Astyanax mexicanus: one gene and its partner. The protein of the gene in region 2 purifies or fractionates together with the protein of the main gene of each other region. This does not show direct contact. Links are inferred from orthologs where the notes say so. Each region holds a gene or a part of one and is shown on either strand. Other genes may lie near its edges. The genes, in order: akt1s1 and mtor.

Region 1 (12,419 bases), on a different chromosome or scaffold from region 2:
ATTTCTTAATAACACTATATTAACTGCGTTTTCTACATTATAATTTTCTAAACATTGTTTTAACAAATGTCAAACAAACAATGCTTATTATTGTTGTCAGTGTGGCATTATTATTATAATAATAATAATTATTAATAATACTATTTAAAAGAAAGTTATTCAAATTTACTTGAATAAGCCACTGGGTACCCATTCCAGTGTGTAACAATATAAAGCATTAATAAGCCAATTAAAATAGATAACTTTTTACATTATATTTTATTCTTACACTGATCAAATACAGATCAGCCACACCATTAAATACAGCACTGAATATAAATGTATGGCTGGCCAATGTAATGTGTAATGCCCCTGTTGTTTCTGCTTTCCTTGTAGCTGGTTTTAATATTGTGGCAGAAGCTTGCCTAATCATTACCCTAATAATATTAAACCTAGATATTTGTAAAGAAATCATTTTATTAATTGAAATAACTATGCTTGTTTTGGATCATTACAGATACTTTTCTTTAAAAGTACCAAATTGTTATGCAATGAGGTAAATTAAGAGCTGTATAAAAGAAAAAGACGCATCAATTATAGGTTTATAATCATTTCACAGATCTCCGAATCATAATCAGATTGAATCATAGGGTTTAGACATTTCCACCCCTACAGGCTAGTGTATCTCACCTAAACTGTGTGGCTGGATTATTTATGCAAACCCAAACATTGGATCGGATTGGTTTTGGTTAATATTCGACTGATATCGAACATCCTCACCTGTCGATTCATTCAGATTATGTCTCCGTCCGTCCATTTCATCTTCCTCCCCTTCCTCCTCATCTTCCTCCAGATCCACGATGCCTGCCCTCTCCCTTGCTCTCTCCGCCTCCTCCAGAGCCACTCGTTCTCCCTCTCCGTTGCCAAGCTGAACCACAGGCTGGCCGATCCCTGAGGCTTGGCTGTAGATCGATGGGTAATTCTGAGAATAAAGCCTTGCACTGGGGCTTACGGAACCTGAGTCCCCAATCATGGTCTGCAAAAGAAAAAAGTTTCTCAATTTAATAAAATTAAAAAAAAAGGAAAAAAAAAAAGAATAATAATTATATATATATATCTCCTCATAAGACCCAGTTTTAGCTTGCGATTAGTTATGAGAAATGAAGGGTACGGGAACAGCACTTTATCTGAGGAGCTCCTGCTGCTGTTTCTCACTGTATGAGCGTATTTATTCGAGTAAAATATAAAAACAACAGCAAACAGGTGGGGATGGATGGTTGTGGGTAAGGTGGAGGGGATTTAAAAAAAAAGATAGGAAAACATTGTCCGTTTTTGTAATGCACTATATTGTTACTGATCTGATACTTATCTATAAAACTTTCAATAAATTCTTGATTACAGAAAAACAACAACAGCAAACGGCAATTATTCGCTCAGAGAAGAAAAAACAGACAAATAGAATTGCTCAATCGATCAACAGAGAAAAGTTCTGAGTACAGCATCATTTCATTCATTCATTTATTCATAAACATTGAACTTTGTCTATTTACAGGAGGTTGTTTCTGCAAAAAACATCCTTAGTATGTCCTCAAATGGGGACATATATTTTTATTTAGTTTATTTTAATATTTTAATTGAGTGTAATGTTGTCACTGGGCTTTTATTTAGATTTGTGACTTACTCTACTGTTAGGAGTACATATAATATATAACACCAAGGCTTTAAATTAAGGCTTTGATTACTATTGGGTTTACTTTGTAACACAAAATTACACAGTATATGAAGAAATCAGACTATAAATATTATTAATGTTCTTCAAGCTACAGTATTAAGTTTATTTTAGCACTTTTGCTGAATAAATAATTCTTTACCCAGGACCGATTCTGTGCTGGTCCGGGTGACAATTTCTCTTTTCTGAGTGAATAATTGCTGCTTGCTGTTGTTTTTGTATTTTACTTGGGAAAAAACCTATCCGAGTCATATCCGAAGTCATATAGTAAGAAACAACAGCAGGAGCTCCTCAGATAAACAGCTGTTTCAATTTTTCTCAGCTCTGAGCTACCATTTCTCCAGTATATTAGCTCGTTATTCTACCATTAGCTTGCGAGCTGTTTTTGCTTCTTTGGTGCTGTTCTACACGCCACTCCGCAGCGACTCTAGAAGTGTGGCTTATGTACAAAATGTATAACACTAGCAACTGCATATTTTCTTACAAATCATGTAGTTAGTTCTGCAACATTTAAAGTAAAAATCAATGTATTAATTAAGGGACATTAATTAAAATTTCACTTTTTAGTACTGATATAATTTTTCTATGTGTCAAAACATTGTGTATCGTGATGTAATGATTTTACCATTCTGCTCATTGTGTCCTCATGTTTTTAGTGACTGTAGCAAGTGCATTATATGCATCAGCACCGCATGTTTTATTACAAACAGGTTTATTAGTGCTGTTAAACTGAATGTAGTGTAGCAGACTTCAAATTAAAGTAATTGTTCCTGCAGTATCGCCCACCTCTACTGTGACTGAGGAGTTCATGCATCACTCACCGGCCTATCAGAGGGCATGTCCACACCTAGCTTGGATCCTCCATCTCCAGAGCTGAGGCGGGTGTGTCTGTGGGCCGTGAGCACCGTGGTGGAGTGAAGGACAGCGATGTCGTCCATGTACCGCCGTGAGGATTCAGCCAGTGCACCCTGACCCCACACATGATATGAGTAATCCCACTTACGGCCTCCATGGGGCACGACTCCACCCCCTTCATGCTTCTTCACTCCGTCCCCCTCCACACCCGAGGGAAGGAACTTTTTACAGGCGGTCAGTATGGCCAGGTCACAGCCGGATTTCTGGCAGTAGGCTTCGGCCGCGGCAAGGAGCGCCAGCCAACTTTCTTTGTGGTTGTCTGGAATCTCGAGGTCAGATGATTTGGTGATGGAGGCCATGGTGAAATATGGATCTTATTTTTTTTTTTCTTCTGAAATGTGGAGATGCTGGTATCACATCAAACAAGATGCTTCTTATGCTCAAGAGGTGGCACTATGTAGGTTATCTTTGCAGTTACTTACTCTTTTTCTTTGGTAAATGAATGCAGCTTACTTCGGTGTAAATGCTGATGAGACTTTGGATGAGGCACAAGTGGACGGCCGTGTCTGCATGCAGGAGAGAACTAGGGGAGAGACGGGAGGATGGCACTCGCTGATGTTGCCTAGAAACAAAAAAGCACATGTTATATTGAAAGATCTGGTTGTTCTTGTCTGTTCTTGCACTAAAATGTAGATTTTGTAATAAAAAAAAAAAACGTATGTGTAAGGGACCATTTAAAAAGGCTTTAAGAAGTCAATGTAAAAGTTCTTTACCAACAAAGACAAAGATTGGTCTTTTGCAAAAATTGTTACTGTATCTGTTGTATCACTTAAAGAACCCTTTGTAGCACCTTTGTAGCCCAAAAGCCCAGATATCCAGGGCTGAGTTTCCCAAAAGGTTCTTAGCACCAAGCTGGCCCTTAGGCTACATTTACATTACCAGCGTGAAGTGACTCAAATCAGATTTTTTTTCCCTCAATGTAGCTGAGATCTGTTTTTTTTTTTTCATGGCTGTGTGAACATGCCAAATCAGATCGGACATGTATCCAATCCATGGACATGTGACATGAATGTGAACGGTCAAATCTGAATTCATGCATCTTTTTTGCTTTTATGCATATTAGCTTATTAGCTATATAAGTGCTTCTCTCTCGTACCCACACATCTCTTGGTGAAGCTGTGCAGCTATAGCTGCAAAAACAGCAAAAGCAAACCGCCTCACCTTTTTTCACCTCCTCAACCTGAGCATGTACTTCAGACCAGCTGTTTGATAATAAACGTTACAGCAAAGTCTAATTGTAATTGTATTCGAAATTGTTTTTCAAAAAGGTAAGTAAAACAGCAACTTTAAAAATGTAATAAATAATCATAAAATTGGAACAAAATGAGTGTTTTCCTGAATACAAATCAAACATTTAATGTCCTCCAAACCTTTCGTTTTGTAAAGGTTGTCTAGTTTTTATGTCTATTTTCTAGGGCTGCAATCAATGATTATTCTGGTAGTCAACTAATCTGATGATTATTTTTTCCATTAGTCAATTAGTCAACAATTATTTCTGCCATGTCCCCTACTTATAAAAATGATAAAAACAGCCGAACATGAGATTTAAAAGGCATATTAATGTCTAGATGATGTTCAAACATGGAAAGTAGTAATATTTGCTGATTAAATCTGTTGAGTTTGTCTGTTGAGCACTTTTGGAGAGACAGACTAAAGCTGAATGTAAACTGTGTGAGTGAACCGTTTACCCATCTCCCATTGCACTTCTGTCCCCAGCACTTTGTGTAATGCGTTACTGTTACAAATTAAGATAAGTGACAATGAAATTTGTTTTCGACAAATTTAAATAATTGATACTCTCGATTATATCGACTAATCATTGCAGCCCTACTATTTTCAAATATTTAGAATCTGGGTTTGATTCCTGTTACTGATCTGAAATTGGAGTAGATGGTGAAAAGGAAGCTTTTCCATGTAACCTGTAGGACTCTTCAAAACCCTCAAAGTTTTCAGAATATAAATATCATATTTTACTGCAGAGAAAGACAGTTTTGCATGATCTACACTACACATTATCTACGCCTGTATGCGTTCCAAACCCTGTAAATGGGTTAAATCACTTATATTGTGGACAGGGGTGAAGCCTGGTGAATATTTTGAGGAGCAGTAGTGTTAGCTAGCAGTAGTGTGAGCAGGAGCTGAACTGAACAATGCAGTGTTGTTGGTGAAAACAGCTCTGTTTGGTAAGTTAAGCTGTTTTGCTGGTGCAGCCCTCGTGCTCCTCGTGTTAATCCTCTGGGAAATGGTTCTGCTAAACTCCCACACCCCCCTTACTGCCCTTTCACCCTCCAGCAGCTCCAGCAGCAGCGCAGTGACCCTCACAGCTTACACCGACCCGCAGCTCCGCTCAACCAGCCACACACACACAACTTGAGCTGCGCTAGGCTAAGCTAAGCTAACCGAGCTAGCCTGAGCTCCTCACAACTTCACTCTCGGTAAAACATGCAGCTTTTCTCACACACGCACAAAATTCCCCACATTTAAACACAGCCAGTAATTTACTCACACACTCAGTATCCTCCCGCTTCTGTCACAAGCGTCTTTACGGTGTAAAACCTGCTGTTTTTGCGCTGTTTATGCCGTTCGCCTTTCTTTCTCTCGCTCTCCCCTAGACTCCAGCGGGGTGACGCACACATCACGTCATCACGTAATGCAACATATCAATTTATATTAGTACAGAATTTATTTTATATTTTATAATTTTGGATACTGCTAACATAAAGATAACGCAATATACCACAAAAAAAAATTATCATAACATAATTTTATAATTAATAATTTACACAGACGTTTATAATTAACAGAGCTTTTATACTGCTCATATAAAGGGTTCATTTCAAAGTGAATATGATAATAAATGCCCAATTTAGAATCGCTAAGGAATTTATTAAAAAATGAAAAAGATTCAATGAATTTATGCTGATTAGACCCACTTCAGTGTGTTTTCTTAATAAACTAATAAGCTAATTATCACTTTATTATTTATAAATAAAAAACAAAAATAAAATCATGGAATCGTATCATGGAAGCTTGATTTCTGAATAAATTTGATTTATAGTTATTCGTATTTTTAAACATATATATGTACACACTTTTTGTTCTTCTTCTACCTTTTATTTAGTTTAACAACTGAACTAATTTCTAAATATTTTTTACATTTTTGAATAAAAATGACATACTAATTAATAAACTACTTCTAACCTTATTCCCAGCTCCCTATCTTTTCCTTTTCTATCCGACTATTACCTTTTGGCCTCCTAAAACGTTTCTGCCTTCGACTTCTACTGCTAATGTACATCAACTGTGGTAAAGTTAGTTTTTAAACCGCAGTCATCATCATTATTTGCAAGTCGCTAAGTCCACTAAATACAATATATAATAGACTATAGATTATGTCCGTAACATGTTTTTTTATGCTGTACACCACATCTTTTATAAATTGGCAAGTAAATAAGCCAGTCATAGTATATGACATAGTATATATGTGTGTGTGTGTGTGTGTGTGTGTTAGGGGTGGGCAGTATTATATCATACAACAATATATCGTGACACAGAAATATCATGCTATTAAAAATCCATATCGTGATAATAGGGATGTTCTGTCTTAAAAGTAGTCTATTATTTACTGTGAAGCCTTAAGTGAATGTATTGTATAATTGTTTAATTTTGCAGTTTATATGCATGCACTAAATGTTCTGCAATATTTTTTGCTGCATTATATTATTTTATGCTATATTATTTATTTTTCCACATTATGATTATACTGTTAAACTTTTATACTATATTCCTGAAATTAACAAATTATTTCTGGTTTCCTATATCGCCAAGTATATCGCTATCGCAAAAATTCCCTGAAATATCGTGATATTATTTTAGAGCCATATCGCCCACCCCTAGTGTGTGTGATTCAATATGTGATTGAATATTCGCACAAAATTCCAGGAATTCCAGCAGATCCAGATTCCATACCTCAGATCAGTTATACAGGAAACTCACATGTGGGTTCTTTTACCTTTTATTTAGTTTTAAACCTGACATTAGTTAATCAGTGGCTTTACATTTCTATATCATTTGTATCATTTGCTCCTTTTATTCTTAAGTTATTTTATTTTTTTAATGTTTGATGCTGTTAATGTGCAAATATTATACACATTTTAATAATAATAATTCCAGTTGTGGCTAGGAGGCACACTTTTTAAAATATTAAACAAAAAGAGCATTGTTATAATGATATCCATTTAAGATGATTACTACCACATAATTTTTTTTTCTTTAATAAAAAACTTTCTTATTATTTATTTTATTGTTTATTGACTACGTCCATGATGTTTTTTGCAAGTGAATGGCCAGTTTTTTTAGTTAGTTATATTCCTAATATATATATATATATATATATATATATATATATATATATATATATATATATATATATATATATATATATATACATTTTTGGACTATGGTGTTGTAGATGCATAGAATTCATATTTATTCGCATACATTTAATATGTAAAACTATTTTGACGTCTAAACACGTAATACTTTCTCTCCTCGCCGTCTTCATTATGATCTTCTTATCTGATTAATCCAGTTCAGTGTCGCAGTCTTTATGCTGTTTATATTTTTTTAGTATCTTTATTGTTTTATGTTTCAGTCACTAGAACCAAACAATAATATAAAATAATGAAATATAAGTGAGAAAAAACTAAATAAATATGACGTTATTTTAATATAATGTGCTTATTTTTCCAAAGTAAACAAAACGTCACTGAAAGCACGTGACAGAGCATGTGATTGGTGGGCGAGGCTTGGCTAGGCAGGCGGAAGAAGCCCTGCTGTTTTGGTCACATTCTGTCGATAGGCAGAAAATCGAGGAATGGAGACAGAAAATCGCAAGGTGAGTGAAAATGACAGCACACACTGAGTATTTAGCACACTGAAAAATATGGTAAGACATATAGCAGCAGTTATTGGTTTCTTTGTGCCTGTTATATCGGTTGCTTTCTGTGTCAGAGTCAAAATGTGGCGTCTGACGGTGAAAGCTGGAGAAGACAGACTGAGAAACAAGAGTTTCAGTTTAGTAAAAGTCAGAATTAGCTCAGTTTCAGAGAGGCAGGTCAGTTTAAAAGAGATAAACGGGTTGTTTACACGGCTGATAACACTCTGTCACAGTGCGGTGTTGTTGGCAGGCCTGTGAGCCGTTGTGTTTTAGGGAAATGAACCTGATTGTCAGCTCTGTTAAGACCAGTTTGTACATTAAATGCAGCTGGTAGCTAAACCACTGAGTAATTGAGTCTGATCAGTGAATCAAGTATGACATTCCAGTGCCAACGCCCCCACTTAAAACCCCCAGTTAATACACCCATAAATAAAATCATATTTAACATTTAAACAATACTTAGATGTGGAGGTAATATAGCTAAAGACAAAAAACTAAAGAACTGTTTAAGCATTATTTACAAAATGTCATTAAACACATTGTAAATTAATACTACAGTCATCCAAACTATGAAGAAAAACATATTATAAAATTTTCAAAGTAGCATCTATTGCTTAGATAGAGCTAGTTTTGCACATCTTGGCTGGAATTTCTAAATCAGCTTGATGAGGTAGAGTCACCTGGAATGGTTTTCAGTTAACAGCTGTGCTGAACTAAATTTCTTGCCTCTTAATGTGTTTGAGAGCATCAGTTGTGTTGTGAAGAGGTAGAGTTGGTATAAAGTAAATAGCTCTATTTGAGTAATGTTCTAATTCATATTATGGCACGAACTACTGATCTAAATAAAGAAAAAAATAATTTAGGAAATGAAGCTCAGTCAATCCTAAATATTTGAAGAACTTTTCCCCAAGTGCAGTTGCAAAGATCATCAAAATCACTGGCTCTCATCAGGACTGCCCCAGGAAAGGAAGACCAAGGATAAGGATAAGGTCAGGGTCATCAGATCACAAATTAACAGCTCCCCAGATAGGAGCCATCTAATGCTTCACAGCGTATTTTGGTTTGTTAAACACTTTTAAGTTACTAGATGATTCCTTATGTGATCCTTCATAATCTGGATGACTTGTGTATTCATTAACAATGTAGAAAATAAAAACATTGAAAAGAGAAGGTGTGTCTAAGCTTGGACTAGAACTGTATGTTTAATGTAAACCAAACAAAGGTTTTGCGCACAATGATCCATACCTACTTTAAAGCATGGAAGTGTTAAGGTTAACATGTCATGTTTAGCGGCTGCTATGTTGCAGGAAGTCCAGGCAATCTCTCCAGGACAGATTCTACTATGGCTTCCTTATTGTATCAGAGCATGCTTTAGGAAAACATGAGACTGCATGTGTAAAAAAATAAATAAATAAACTAAAGTTGAAGCAGATATGGGCCCTGCATCAAGGAATGGCCCATTGAAAGAAAGTGTTCAAGTCAAAACTTGGATCAGTTCAGTGTATATTTTTGTTCATTAGAAATGGCACAGTACCTGGTGGATACTGAGGTCCACCACTGAGCTGCCATGCTGACCCTCAGTAACAGTACTTTCCCTTAGTGTTGCCACTCACCCAACACACATGTGAGTGTGAGTCATGAGCTAAGTTGTCCTGAACTGAAATCTCATTTGAAGTTTAAAGGTGATGTGTGTGTGTGTTGTTTAATCACAGCTGATCTTTGAGAAGGAGGGGGTTTACCTTCACACAAATGCCAAGAGGAGTAACCAAGACACAACTATTCCTGGATTCATCCGTATTGTAGAGAAGGTAAGGGGCTGATAGGTAGTAGTTGTACATTAATGATATCTAAATACAGCTCTGAAAAAAAAAAAAAAATTGAGTAAAATGAACACTGTTGTTTTATTCTAAAAAATACAAAAAATTCCAAATAAAAATAGTCATTTAAAGCATTTATTTGCAGAAAATGAGAAATGGCTGAAATAACAAAAGATGCAGAGCTTTCAGACCTCAAATAATGTAGAGAAAACAAGTTCATATTCATAAAGTTTAAATAGTTCAGAAATCAATATTTGGTGGAATAACCCTGGTTTTTATTACAGTTTTCACGCATTTTGGCATGTTTTCCTCCACCAGTCCACTTATGCCACTCCTGATGGAAATATTTAAGCAGTTTAAGTGGTTTGTGATCATGCATCCTCCTCTTGATTATATTCCAGAGGTTTTCAGTTCTCAAAAAACCCATTTTTAAGTGGTCTCTTATTTATTTCCAGAGCTGTATTTGTATTGTATTGGTCCTGAACTCAATAGCAGTTACACAGTTACAACCATTATATTCCAAAAAATGACAGTGATAGAAATATATACCATAAACGTTATATAATGTGCTGTACAATACAGAATTCAAAATAGTTTAATAATGGGAGTTGCACTTACTCTAGATCCTGTACAGATGCTATAATTAGAAATATGTGTAAATGTTAAGAGACACAATTCTTCACACTATGACAGTATGATTACTGTTTGTTTACTGCATTTAACATGTTCCCAAATACCTTAAAATTAAGATTTACAAAATCCCTGCATGGTGCTGCTTTAAAAGATTATTTTTTACATTTTTAACCGAGTAATAAAAGTCTGTTTTATATTTTAAAAAATAATCCTGCTTGTTTATATTATTTAAAAAAATTGCTTTAAATAAAAAAAATGTTTAGAAAATAACTGCTTTGTGAGAATATGATGATATATTCTGGCATTATGATGCTCAGATGCTCTTGGAATATAAATCTTGAGAATTTAGATAAAACAGGTTTTCTTTTTGAAGTTAAAATCTAAAGGTATATCATAATAGACCTAGGTTTTTCAATGTACCAGTCCAACCTCTTGATTTTGTATTGAAACACAATGAAAATGAAAAAATGAAAAGCAATTGTTGTTGTTTATTACAGTTTTCTTATTGGTACATTTTTTTAAATCCAAATTCTCAAAAATCAGTGAACTAAATTTTCAAGTTTTCTTAATTCCAAATATCAAGCTGGCCAAATAATGTCCTATTTAAAATCCTTGAGTCTCCAAAATGTCAACTTTACAGAAGAAGGAAAATACCTTAACTTTCAGTGGACATCAATGATAAAGACTTTATTTCAGGTCATTTTGGTGCAATTCTATTGCTCCATTCATCAAAAGTTGAATAAATAATTGATAATCCAGAGGGAAAAATGTGTTTTAGAATTACATGTGTTTCTATTATGTTTAAATTCGAACAGGATGGAGAGTCAGTATTGGAGTGGAGCCCTGTTCAGGATGATGGGAAAAACGCACCTGCTGTCTTTTATGCCAAAAAGGTTATTACGTTATTACGTCATTACGTTATGAATGGAAGTTTACTCTATTAAACCTAATAACTTAATTTTCCCTCATCCCTCTCTTTGCTTTTTTGTGTTGTTATAAAAGGATGGGGAAGGAGGAGAGGAGGAAACCAACTTTGACCCGGGGTATGAGCCAGACTGGGCCGTTATCGGCACAGTGAAGCAGAACCGAGAAAAAGAGAAAACACCCGTCAGAGACACAGGTACTGTTCATCTGCGGTTTATAGAGTTTCACACTCACCAGGAAACAGAAAAGTGTTATTAGTTACGCTAATGGCCAAAAATACCAGCATCTCTGCACTTCTTTCAAAAGATGCACCACTTCTCCCAGTATATTTCTTTACAGTTAAACAAACTTGGCGTTTGGTTCTCGTTTGTTTCTATATTTTGCATCAGGACAAAGCAAAAAAAACAAAACAAAAAAAAAGTTAAATGGGATTACATTCCACAGAAAACCCCAGAAGTGGACTTGAAAAAATATTGGCACCTTTTTGTGAGAATTATGAGAAATATTTGAATATTTGAATTTCAATCATGTAATTTTTCTTTAATTAGTGATTATAATAAGTTTTAGGAGGTGGTAATATTGAGATCACATGTTTAGCGAGTTTAAATGAAGAAAAGTTGACTCAGTCATAGTGTCTGTGTACCACACTACGCATGGAGAAACTACAAAAGAGTAGGGCTGGGTATCGTTCTTAAATTTTCAATACCGATACAGATATTGACAATTTCAAAACGATACCCACTGTATATTAGTATCTTTGTATATTAATATTTCAGGAGAGAGAGAGAGAGAGAGAGAGAGAGTCGAGTTAGCCAGAGCAAGCACCTGAGATTTTAGCACAGCGGCAGTGTGTCAACAGTTTGAATGATCACCGCTAACAGGCTCACCACATTTCTGCGTGCGCTCTCCAATTGTGTGTGTCAGGGCGCCATCGTGGTTGTTTTTACATCGTTGTGTACACTCTCCGCGTTTGTCGTGTTTTTTTTTTTGTTTTTTTTGTTTTTTAACCTTTCGGTACTACATTTTGGTCGGTGCCTGCGAATTTCGATACCCAGCCCTACAAATGAGTAAAGAATTATTTGACCAGGCCCCATTAAGATCAGGCCGAGCCTCTTGCATTCAGCCCAGGCTTGGTAGCTTAGGGTTAAGAAGCATTTGAGAGAAGATCAAAATGCTATAGAGACCTATAATGTGTGACTGAAGAGGCAGACAGAGGCTGGCAGACATGGTTGTACCCTGTGGAGAGAAAGAAGACAGTGCGACGGTTGATGGGAGGTGGCAGAAAGAGGGAGGAGCTGATCTGGTAATCATGGTCAGGGGGAAGAGTGTAGTGGCTGGCCACCACTATTGATCCTCCAGCAGGAGAGCATTCTGGTTCAGGATCAAATCAGCCAGTGATTGGTGGTGGCCACCTGATGACACAAACCCCTGGCCAAAGGCTCCAGTCATTGGTAAAAAACTGTAGGAGAAGGATTCTAGGATG
Region 2 (12,173 bases):
GGTAGAGCTCGACATCAATGCTGCAATAAATGCAATCAGTGAATTCCTGCAGACAACTGGTGATGGTCACAGTCTAAGCAAAGCTGCTGTCTCCAAGTCTGTGCATTCTCTAACTGGGTCATGCATGCACCATGTTAATTTCCCACTGGGCAGAGAATTACAGGACAGCAAAATACATTTCCATGACTTTGGGAACACCCCAGGTACTGTAGGTCCAAAACATGGGATGCCTATCCCTATACACACGCCCAACACAATCCCACTGATTCTGCGGTGAATGTGCAGGTAATATATAATTCACAAAGGCTTTTAATGACATTGTGACCATTTATCTGGGCAAACTCTGAGTTTTGTCAGCTTGCAACAATATATATATAGTACCAGTCAAAAGTTTAATGAACAGGTATGAAATTATGTAGTAAACAGTAAAAACTCAGGTGTTGGTTTGGTGGGCATTGAGCTAGAGCTTCACAGCAGGAAGTAAAAGCAGCAACTATAGTTCAGCACCTCCAGGAACTCCTTTAAGATGCTGAGAACTATTCCAGGTGACTCTACCTCATGAAGACACTGAGATTAAAATACCAAGATAGATAATAAAATACCAAGATAATGGAATACAAAAAGTGTGCAGATCTGTCCTTAAATAAATGTTACTGAGAAGAATCTAAAGTATAAAACATATTCTGTATTGATTAGAACTTTTTGTTCGGCATGAGCTCCTGTATAGTTTTAATGTCGATTTTAAATTTACAATGTAAAAAATCATAAAAAGAAGAAATAAACGCATTGAGTGAGAAAAGGCGTGTCCAAACTTTTGACTGGTACTGTAAATATTTGTGTTATTTATTTAGTCATTTATGTGTTTAAGAGTATTTTACAAGGCCTAAGTACGTCGGATTTTTTTTTTATTTCAGAATATGCTTAAGGATGTTGATTACAACACATTTCTATGGTTTTTGGGCGTAATAGTGAATACATGTTCTATATTTGCCAGTGCTGAATTGATGTTTGTGGGCTGTTTAGGGGGAGGAGTCAACAAAGATGTTCTTTTAACTCGTTTAATTTTCGATTTGCAAAGCTCTTTGGGAAGAAAAACTTACAGAACTGGCTCAATCTTTTCTCATATCATGCATTAGTTTGTTTGTTATTCGGTAAGTTTGATGTTTTTTGGGAAACGCACCCTATAGATGCTTGGGGCGGGAACAAGAAAAGTAAATACAGGGAGTTCACAGTAAAAACTGATTGAAAAGCACTTTGAAAGATGATTTTTATTTTTATTTGATTAGATAATTGATTGATGGGTAATGAACAAATTGGAAGATTTTGATATATTAATCATAGCCACATTTTATTATTTAACATTGAATTGTGTTAATATAAGGCATTTTTGTTACTCGTCTTTAAAGGTACAGTAAATTTTTTATACAGATAAGTTTTTTTTTATTCACTCTGTGACTGCTACAGAAGGAAAGACTTTGCCCTCACAACATTCCAATATTAAAGATTCAGACATTTATATTGTTAGGTACACTACCGTTCAAAAGTTTGGGGTCACTCAAACAATTTTGTGTTTTCCATGAAAAGTCACACTTATTCACCACCATACGTTGTGAAATGAATAGAAAATAGAGTCAAGACATTGACAAGGTTAGAAATAATGATTTGTATTTGAAATAACATTGTTTTTACATCAAACTTTGCTTTCATCAAAGAATCCTCCATTTGCAGCAATTACAGCACTGCACACCTTTGGCATTCTAGCTGTTGATTTGTTGAGGTAAGCTGGAGAAATTGCACCCCACGCTTCTAGAAGCAGCTCCCACAAGTTGGATTGGTTGGATGGGCACTTCTGGCGTACCATACGGTCAAGCTGCTCCCACAACAGCTCAATGGGGTTCAGATCTGGTGACTGCGCTGGCCACTCCATTACCAATAGAATACCAGTTGCCTGCTTCTGCTGTAAATAGTTCTTGCACAATTTGGAGGTGTGTTTAGGGTCATTGTCCTGTTGTAGGACGAAATTGGCTCCGATCAGGTGCTGTCCACTGGGTATGGCATGGCATTGCAAAATGGAGTGATAGCCTTCCTTATTCAGAATCCCTTTTACCCTGTACAAATCTCCCACCTTACCAGCACCAAAGCAACCCCAGACCATCACATTACCTCCACCATGCTTAACAGATGGCGTCAGGCATTCTTCCAGCATCTTTTCATTTGTTCTGCGTCTCACAAACGTTCTTCTTTGTGATCCAAACACCTCAAACTTGGATTCATCCTACCACAACACTTTTTTCCAGTCTTCCTCTGTCCAATGTCTGTGTTCTTTTGCCCATCTTAATCTTTTTCTTTTATTAGCCAGTCTCAGATATGGCTTTTTCTTTGCCACTCTGCCCTGAAGCCCAAAATCCTGCAGCCGCCTCTTCACTGTAGATGTTGACACTGGTGTTTTGCGGGTACTATTTAATGAAGATGCCAGTTGGGGACCTGTGAAGCGTCTGTTTCTCAAACTAGAGACTCTAATGTACTTATCTTCTTGCTTAGTTGTGCAACGCGGCCTCCCACTTCTTTTTCTACTCTGGTTAGAGCCTGTTTGTGCTGTCCTCTGAAGGGAGTAGTACACACCGTTGTAGGAAATCTTCAATTTCTTAGCAATTTCTCGCATGGAATAGCCTTCATTTCTAAGAACAAGAATAGACTGTCGAGTTTCAGATGAAAGTTCTCTTTTTCTGGCCATTTTGAGCGTTTAATTAACCCCACAAATGTGATGCTCCAGAAACTCAATCTGCTCAAAGGAAGGTCAGTTTTGTAGCTTCTGTAATGAGCTAGACTGTTTTCAGGTGTGTGAACATGATTGCACAAGGGTTTTCTAATCATCAATTAGCCTTCTGAGCCAATGAGCAAACACATTGTACCATTAGAACACTGGAGTGATAGTTGCTGGAAATGGGCCTCTATACACCTATGTAGATATTGCACCAAAACCAGACATTTGCAGCTAGAATAGTCATTTACCACATTAGCAATGTACAGAGTGTATTTGTTTAAAGTTAGGACTAGTTTAAAGTTATCTTCATTGAAAAGTACAGTGCTTTTCCTTCAAAAATAAGGACGTTTCAATGTGACCCCAAACTTTTGAACGGTAGTGTATATAATTCATTTTCTTATTACAAAAACTACTTATTGCACCTTTAAAGCTCCACTAGGTAGGATGGAGATTTTGTGCTCGTGGGCTCCCCCTACAGTTGTAGAGTGTAATAAATGTTTCAGGTGATTAGTTTCTCTTTCTTGTTTTCACAGACATATTCGGTCTCTTTCCAGCTTGTGCCAGAGTGTGTGTATGTTAGTTTGTAAAGAATTAACCACTAGTCCTTGTAGAACTGTTAGAATTAAAGTTCAGAAAGCAGGTCGCAGTTCTCGGAAAACTTACAGAGTCTGGTTTAAGCTCAGAGGATCCCGGCACAGACACGCACCTCAATGCAGCACTGCAGTGAGTTTCAAGCTGTAATTTTACTTCTTTAAAAAGATGAAAAATCAAGGAAATCCTACCTAGTGCTGCTTTAAGTCACTGTTGCAATCCATTAAAATTAGATTTTATAAAAGCTACTGTTTATGAAACAAATCAGTTCATATACAAATCTATTATTAATTCAAAAGCATTTTTATCAACCCTTTTTTTTACGCTCTGGTGCATAGCGGTCACTACAGTGGAAAGCTGTTTAAATGATATTTTCTCCTAAACGCAGTGATTTCTATGGTGGAATTGCATATCAGCCCTTAGAATGTTCTCTACTGCCCCCTTCCATTGAGGTTCATTCACTGGTTAATTGTTGTAACTACAAGTGAGCATCACTGGAATCCAAGATGGGTGGCAGACAGACATTGTTGACCATTACTGAAATATCCTGTCAATCCTTATATTATAGAAGAACCCTATTTGGTTACCATTCAATAAATTTTGGGTATATCTATAAATTATTATTATTTTTTTTTTTTGCAGATAAGTTGTACTTTGTGTTGATCTTTTTTTGAAAAATATCTTTTTGTCATTTTTGGTTGCAATTCCATTCATTTTAGGCTTGCCACCTTTTCTAGCACACAATGTAATATGTGCTCATGGATGTATAATAAAACTCAGATCGATTCATTCTTCCATTAAGTTTAAACTGTTAATGTTGGGTGCTTAATCGCATGTATTCCACTGTGGTGGTCTGTACATTCCTGAAAAAAAAAAAAAAAAAAAACATTTTTGAGGAAAAAAGACAAAAAAAGAATATTGACTCTACTGATTGACAAGAAAGGCCCTTTGGCTATCTTCATTCTGTCACTGAAAGGAGAATGCTGTGATTGGTTGAATCCATCTCTAGTCCAGCCCTATTTGTGATTAAACAACAAATCCCGAGCGGCTTCCTGTGCGCTGGTCGGTTTTACCGGCTTCTGAATGGCTGATTAATCTGTCACTCATTGCCAAGCCTCAGCCTATTGGTGGACTGGGTCCTGCTAGGTAAAAACCCCGCCCAGTATTCCTCTGCAGCCTTGCGAACAGAACATCTTCAGAGGAGAGAGAACACAGTAAAAGTAAGAGCTGTCTGTCTGTTTTAACCGGTTTAACAGCTGCGGTTTTATCGTGCTTCTGCTTCAGGTTTAATTTAACTGTTACTGAGCTTTAAATTATCTCCGTAAACGGCTTACAGCACAGCTAAGACTAAGACTAAGACTGAGACTGAGACTGACTGGGCTCCAGGCTAACTGTAGCACATTAGGCTAGTCCAGAGTTAGCAGGTTTTCCCGGCTGTGGGAGTTTAAACAGGTCAGGAAAGTGACCGGTAACCGCTTTAACCAGAGCTCAGATATACCCGCTCCCTCTCAGCCGCTGCCGCTTTACACAGTTCAGCCCTTTTTAAGGTTATCTTCAGGCCACAGCATTTAATTTTACATGGCAAGTTTGAGGCTAGCTGGCAGGCTAACTGCTATACCCATAACAATGTGTGCGTGACCCGTGTTACAGCAGAACGCTGCACTGTGTGTATGGTATGGCTATGACAACATTTCTATTTAACACACGTTTAGTTAAGCTACGTTAGCTTAACTACTTAACTCTAGCTGCATTAGTTATGGCTAAAATACGTTTGGGCAAACCACAAAGGTTACAGCATGTGAAGACTTAAAAGTGTCTATCTGTTTAATAAATCGTTCCCTCAATTTAACAGGTTCGTTTTTCTCAAGTTTTAATATTGTCCTTTTCATATACTAAACTGTTTTCTTAATTTAATAAATTGTTCTGTCAGTATAACAAATCCTTCCCTTGATTCATCAATCTGTTTCTCTCAGTTCTAATAAATTGTTTTCTCAGCTAAAATATGTTCCATTAATTCAGTAGGTTAAATAATTCCTTTGATTACAAAATCTCTTCCCTCAGCTGAACTGAAAATCCAGTTCATTCCTCATTATTTTAAAGAAAAGTGGCGGTACAGTGCTTATTTACTATTCGTTTCTATGCATTAGGTATGGCTAAAAAAGCATTATGACAAAACACATAGGTTACATTATAAAGGTACTTACAGTGCTTTCTTTGTTTAATTAATTCTTTCCTAAATTAAGCCATCTGTTTTTCTTATCAATTTAATAAACAATTCTTTCAATTTAGTAAGTTGTTCCTTTAATGTAAAGAATTTCCTAAATTTGATCATTTATTCCCTTAATGTAAAGAAAATAAGAATTCCCTCGATTTAACTATATTTTCCCTCAATTAGATAAACTATTCCCTCAATGTAATAAAGAATGACCTTGATTTAACAATCTGTTCCCTTAATTTAATAAAATGTACCCTAAGCTTAATAATTTGCTCTGTCAATTTAGTAAACGTTTACTCTATTAGCAAAACAAAATCTGCCCCCTTAATTTAATAAGTTCTTCAAGTGTCCCCTCAGAGTCACTGATTTATAAAATTACGTTATTAAATTAAATTCCAGACCAATATATTTAAAGGTATGTTGATCGTTTCATTGCTTTAAAGGTGATATGCATTGGTTTTTCTGAATATTTGAATATGTGTAACGTGTAGATTTCACTGCATTAATTCTCTACCACATACATGGGATCTTGGATCTGCAAATAAGACGAGTATCTTTGGTCAGCAATTTTTCTTTGAGATTTTCATTTAAAGTTATTATAGGCCGAACTATAATTTTGGTGAACGATAAATGGCTGATGGAAAGAACACCTAACCCAAGTTGTTCATACATGCATAACAAACAAAATGTTTCTTCTTGTCTTCCCGTTTTTGCAGAGACCGCAGGTAGCGGTACTTCTGCTGCCAGCATGTCGGGCACAGCTACAGTGCTGCAGCAGTTCGTGAGTGGCCTCAAGAGTCGGAATGAGGACACAAGGGCCAAAGCTGCTAAAGACCTCCAGCATTATGTCACTACAGAGCTGAGAGAAGTATGGAACAGTATAAATGCAACTGTTGCTTAAAAGTCTGTTGTTGCGAATAATGAAAGCAAAATGGGGGTAAAATATGAGGCGATGTGTAATGTTTTGGCTACACTAGCATATTTGTTTTGTAGAATTCTGTTGAAATTGGTCTAAGCTATCGTATACTAACCCTCGTCACCTCTGTGTTCTTTACATTAAAGTTAAGCCAAGATGAAGCCACCACTTTCTATGATGAGCTGAATCACCACATATTTGAGCTGGTCTCCAGCTCTGATGTAAATGAGAAAAAGGGCGGTATTCTTGCTATTGGTGAGTATGACTTCATTCTTTTGACAATCCATTGCACTTAGTACAGTGTTATGCACAGTTTATGGACACTCATCTCATACAGGAATATTATTGCTATGTTGGTCAGTCAGTTATTTACTTTAACTGTTATTTTCTCATGCAGATTGAGTGTACAACATATATGTATTGTACATTTCACATTTGGTGACAACAGAAGCTTTCAGAATTACAAATACAGGGTAGAGAAAGACCGATAAATCTGTTTGGGGACGATTTCATTTATCGATTGTCTTTCAGCTCAATATCAATCTTTAGCTGGGCCAAATGCCACATTAATACCGCTGAGAAGCCAGGCAAACTTGGTACAGATTCCCCTGATTATGGCCACCTCTAAGCAAACATTGGAAATACAACCTGACTGTAAATAAATGGATTTATATGTGCATAAAATAGTTTTAGTTTTATATTTGTTTTTGTTTACTTAGACACCAATTCTGCAGGAATGGGTATCCTAACATGCCTGTTTTCTGGCGTTATCTTACTTCTTAAAATAACCTACATTTACTGTAAAAAAATATAACTAAAAATCTGAATATGATTGTTTTAGCTTTTTGACTCCTGCAGCTGCTGTACTTCTGCAGCGTTTGGTGGTGTGTGTGGTTAGCTAGTTAGCTCTGCTACTCACTGATTTGGCTGTAATATTACTGTGGAGAGCGGTATTATCCGGTTAGTGGAGTTAACATCTTTATTCTGTTCCACCACGAGGCACGTTAGTCCTACACATATAAACTGTAGAAACCCACACTCGACTAAGTTGAGCTGAGTCTGTAGCTGGTCTGGCTGCTGACGAGAGTCTTGCTGCAGCCTGCTGGAATGCAGGGTTCCTTGAGGGAGTTGCACCTAGTGGCTGGACAAGGTACTGCAGCTTCCTGTGGCCAAACTGTCCCAACAGTGATCCACACAGTAGCGCTGCAGTGTTCAACTTAGCTCCCAAAACGGATCGGCTGAATCAGAGAAATATTGAACTTCCCATCTCTAATACAGGGTCAAAAATGTACACTGCCATGACAATCGTCATGGGGCTGGAACTAGTGTAATGTCCCATGAGCTAAAGAATGCTCCATTGACCTGTAGGATATGCTTTTGGGGTATCTTTCATTGAATGTGGATGTGATTTCTGCCAGTGTCACTTATTTCTAGTCAATTCTGCTGGTGGCGATTATAACCACCTGCTGCTCTGTCCACTGTAAATGATAATTCCTTCTGTAATCATTTTGGATTTTACATGTTTTGCTATATTTATCCAAACAGACCTCCTACAAAATACCTAAAACATCATTCTGATAAGGTATCAGTTGGAACAGGAATTAATTCAGGGAATCCAGTTACAGTGATTACTTTTTTTGCTCTCTTTTAGTGAGCTTGATCGGAGTTGAGGGGGGCAATGCCACCAGGATCAGCCGTTTCGCCAACTACCTGCGCAACCTGCTGCCCTCCAGTGACTCTGTGGTCATGGAAATGGCCTCTAAAGCCATGGGGCATCTGTCTATGGCGGGGGACACGTTCACTGCTGAGTATGTGGAGTTTGAAGTAAAGAGGGCTCTGGAGTGGCTGGGAGCAGACAGGAATGAGGGTCGTCGTCATGCAGCGGTAACCAATTAAATGCTTTTCTTCATATTTTGTTAGTTTACAGCACTTACTCTGTTATTATCAGATCATATTTAGCAGGAGGGCTGTTGACTCTCCTGTTTTTACATTTCAACGTGTTGAGAGGCATGTATTATGTATTATCAGGTTGGTAGAATCGACACTCTGTATGCATAAAACATTCCTTACATCAGTATTACTGCGATTGTAGACTATAATGTGTTTTGACTGGATTCTATTACAATGTCCATTGTGCAGGTGCTGGTATTGCGGGAACTGGCCGTCAGCGCACCCACCTTCTTCTTCCAGCAGGTGCAGCCATTTTTCGACAACATCTTCTATGCAGTGTGGGACTCTAAGCAGGCCATTCGCGAGGGGGCAGTTTCTGCCCTCCGGGCCTGCCTGATCCTCACGACTCAGAGAGAGACCAAGGAGATGCAGAAGCCTCAGTGGTACAAGGTAAGCTCTATAGGTCACCTGAGACTGTATTTATACTAATGAAATTGCCATGAACATAACAACCCAGCATTTTTAGAACTATTGTCTATCTGTTTTGCTTGTGCCATACTGTTGGTTGCCATGCCATGGACAAAGCTGGATATTAAAGAATGTCTTGCCAAATACAGTACCAAACAAAAGTTTGGACATGTCTCAAAGTTTTCTCAAGTTTTTTCATTATTTAAAAAGACTATTGTCATCCATTCTATGACGATAAACATGGCATTTTTAGTAAACAAAAAGGGTTAAACAAGCCAGAATATATTTTATAATTTAGATTCTTCAAAGTAGCACCTCTTAAGGGGTGCCTTGTGCTCCAGTGGTCTAAACAGCTGCCACTATGAGCTGGTTTGAATCCTGGTCATGCAGCTTGGCCCTGCACAATTGGCCTTGCCTGCATGCATATCATGACCCAGATGGGGCTCGAACCCACAATCCTCAGCTCCGAAGGCTGATGCCTTATCCATTAGGCCACTGGGCCTTGCCCTGTCTGGGTGGGTAGATGGCGCTCTTTCCCCTCAACACCCGTAGGGTGATGTCGGGGTGTCTGTAAGCTGATGTATCAGCACCGAGTCGCTGCACTTTCCTCCGAGTGCACTGTGATACTACTCAGCAATGCTGCATCAGCAGCAGTTCAAAAAGAGGCGGTGGCTGACTTCACATGTGTCGGAGGAGGCATGTGCTAGTCTTCACCTTCCTTGTGTTGTGGCATCACTAGTGATGAGGACAGCTGTGTAGCAGCTGAATGGGTGCGGTAATTGGGAGAAAAAAGAAAAAAAAAAAAGAAAAAAAAAGAAGCACCTCAGATGACAGCTTAGATGACAGATTTGCACATTGCGAAGACCATCAAAAGTTAAGATGAAACTGGCTCCCATCAGGACCGCACCAGAAAAGGAAGACCAAGAGTTACATCTGTTGCACAGAATAAGTTCATCAGAGTAACCAGCCTTAAAAACTGCGAGTTAACAGAACCTCAGATTAGAGCACTTAAATGCTTCACAGGGTATTCTTAGGTGGTTTGTTTAACACTTTTAAATTACTACATGATTCCTTTGTTCATGGATAGTCTGGGTGACTTTAGTATTAATTTACAATGTACAGAACAAAAAAAATAAAACATTGAATGACAAAGTGTTCAAACTTTTGTCTGGTACTGTATATTTGCAAGGTTCAGACTAAAGGGTTATCTGAACACGTCACTTCTTCCTCTGAAAGTGTGGCACATTTGGTGGTGTCAAATCTGTTTAGAAGGTTGGAAACTTTAAAAATTGTTTGTGCTGCTTAAAATATATAACCAAGGAGGATAATTGCAAAGCACAAAGTGGGTAAGGCTAGTGCGTATCCTTTTGCAAAGTTTGTGAGAAATGTGACATTTTGTAGCTGAGCTTTGTGTGTGGATTAAATGTGTGAAATTGATTAGTTGCTTCAACTCAATTTGAAATTATTTTCACAGCAAACCTTTGAAGAGGCAGAGAAAGGTTTTGACGAGTCCCTGGCCAAAGAGAAAGGTATGAACAAGGACGACAGGGTCCACGGAGCCTTGCTGATTCTGAATGAGCTGGTCCGCATCAGCAGCATGGAGGGGGAGGTAAGCAGATTCTTAATCTGAACGACAAGTACAAGTACATAACAAACTTTTTCATTTAATCACAATAAAAGTCATAGTCACTTTAGATTCACAGTAGGTTTGACAATATAAAATTGCCACTTAGTTGAGTGGGAGGGGGTCTTGTCCTCCTGTGTCTCATGTACTCTCCTGTCTTGCCTCACACTCTCTCTCCTTTTCAGCGGATGCGAGAAGAAATGGACGAGATTACTCAGCAACAGCTGGTTCATGACAAGTACTGTAAGGAGCTGATGGGCTTCGGCACAAAACCACGGCACATCACTCCTTTCACCAGCTTCCAGTCAGTGCAGCCGCCCCAATCCAACGCTCTACTGGGACTTCTGGGCTACAGCAGCCCGCAGGGGTTCCTCAGCTTCGGCGCTGTGCCAGCACCATCCAAAAGCACACTGGTAGAAAGCCGCTACTGTCGAGAACTGATGGAGGAACGATTTGATCAGGTAAGTATACAGCTGTCTAAAAGAGAAAGCTTACTCCAAATCTCATTGGCCAGCCAGGACACTGCAAATACATTTGTGTATGTGATTTCTGACACTGATACATTTTTTTTTGGCAAAAAATATGCATATACCTCATGAAAACAAAATTCCAGTGACATACAACAGGCTTATCTTTTTAGGCTAAAACCTGGTACATTACGCTCATATCTTTACCACTTGCACATGCAGACCGTAAACAGTGCTTTTACAGAGATCTACACATTCATTTTCAGTAATAATCCTGTTTAACTGTTCATCCATCACAAATGTCCAGCAGCTTATTCAGTGGGCTTAATCCAGCTAATCAAGACTAATAATGAGCTGTATATTTTTTAATGCTTAATTTTTTAGAATTACTGATGATATCAGTGCACACAAAAAAACAAATGGTGTGTATACAAACTGTGGTATAATCTATTAATATATTAATAAGGTTTAATCAAATTGCCCAGCTAATTATATATAAGTCTTCTAAAAAGTCCAAATAAATGACGAACATGTTGCTGTGTTTTCAGGTGTGTCGCTGGGTTCTGAAATACAGGACTACTAAAAATCCTCTCATCCAGATGACCATTCTCAACTTACTCCCTCGTCTCGCTGCCTTCCAACCACACACCTTCACCGGTAACCACCCTGTTTAATGTGCTTTAATGTTACATTTTATTGTATTCATGATTAGGGGTGAAACAATTACTCGAGTAATTAGAGTAAATTGATAAAAAAAAAAAATAGCAAGTAATTTTATGTGTCTCGAGTAATTTAAAGTTTAATTAATTAAAAAAACTCAGTGCATGGTAATTCACGCTTTTATTGTGACAACGTGCTCAGTGTTACATCACCCACGCACAGGAAGAAGGAGCAGGCAGCAGAGGTTTTAGTTGAGAAGAAGGTATTTTAAAGCGGGGAAAGATTGACAATTTACGATGAAAAGGGACAATAATAACGGAGCATTTTAGGCAGGGAAGCGTGTATTCGCTCTTGCCTTCCACAACAGCACGTTTTAATGCTACCTTCTCAGCCGAGGACACGTTAGTGGTGGAGCCGAGAAAAGGTTAATATAACTCATTTTCAAATGAATGAGATTAACATTAATGTACCTTAATAACATAACGACAGCGCTGTGGAGTGCGGGCTATTAGAAATACTGTCGAATGTGTCGTTATTTTCTTTTAAAACAGACAATTCTGGACTGAGGAGTTTATAAA

Evidence for each region.
Region 1: the proteins of mtor (region 2) and akt1s1 purify together in Homo sapiens (affinity purification with western blotting; 8 studies listed by BioGRID and IntAct, with this or other methods). This does not show direct contact. The link is inferred for Astyanax mexicanus from reciprocal best matches to the Homo sapiens genes MTOR and AKT1S1.

What each region holds. Positions count from the first base shown.
Region 1 is NC_064426.1:17,847,206-17,859,624, reverse strand, and holds the start of akt1s1 (proline-rich AKT1 substrate 1), read right to left. Parts: upstream 5,250-12,419; 5' UTR 5,134-5,249; exon of another isoform or gene 5,130-5,133; intron 3,186-5,129; 5' UTR 2,923-3,185; coding exon 2,530-2,922; intron 1,016-2,529; coding exon 760-1,015; intron 1-759. Other genes in the region: tbc1d17 (TBC1 domain family member 17), read left to right, coding at 7,500-7,520, 9,275-9,370, 10,828-10,905, 11,015-11,132. UniProt on the Homo sapiens protein: Negative regulator of the mechanistic target of rapamycin complex 1 (mTORC1), an evolutionarily conserved central nutrient sensor that stimulates anabolic reactions and macromolecule biosynthesis to promote cellular biomass generation and growth.
Region 2 is NC_064419.1:17,748,789-17,760,961, forward strand, and holds the start of mtor (serine/threonine-protein kinase mTOR), read left to right. Parts: upstream 1-4,510; 5' UTR 4,511-4,575; intron 4,576-6,286; 5' UTR 6,287-6,318; coding exon 6,319-6,438; intron 6,439-6,632; coding exon 6,633-6,741; intron 6,742-8,137; coding exon 8,138-8,370; intron 8,371-8,625; coding exon 8,626-8,826; intron 8,827-9,273; exon of another isoform or gene 9,274-9,346; intron 9,347-10,318; coding exon 10,319-10,453; intron 10,454-10,653; coding exon 10,654-10,929; intron 10,930-11,483; coding exon 11,484-11,592; intron 11,593-12,173. UniProt on the Homo sapiens protein: Serine/threonine protein kinase which is a central regulator of cellular metabolism, growth and survival in response to hormones, growth factors, nutrients, energy and stress signals.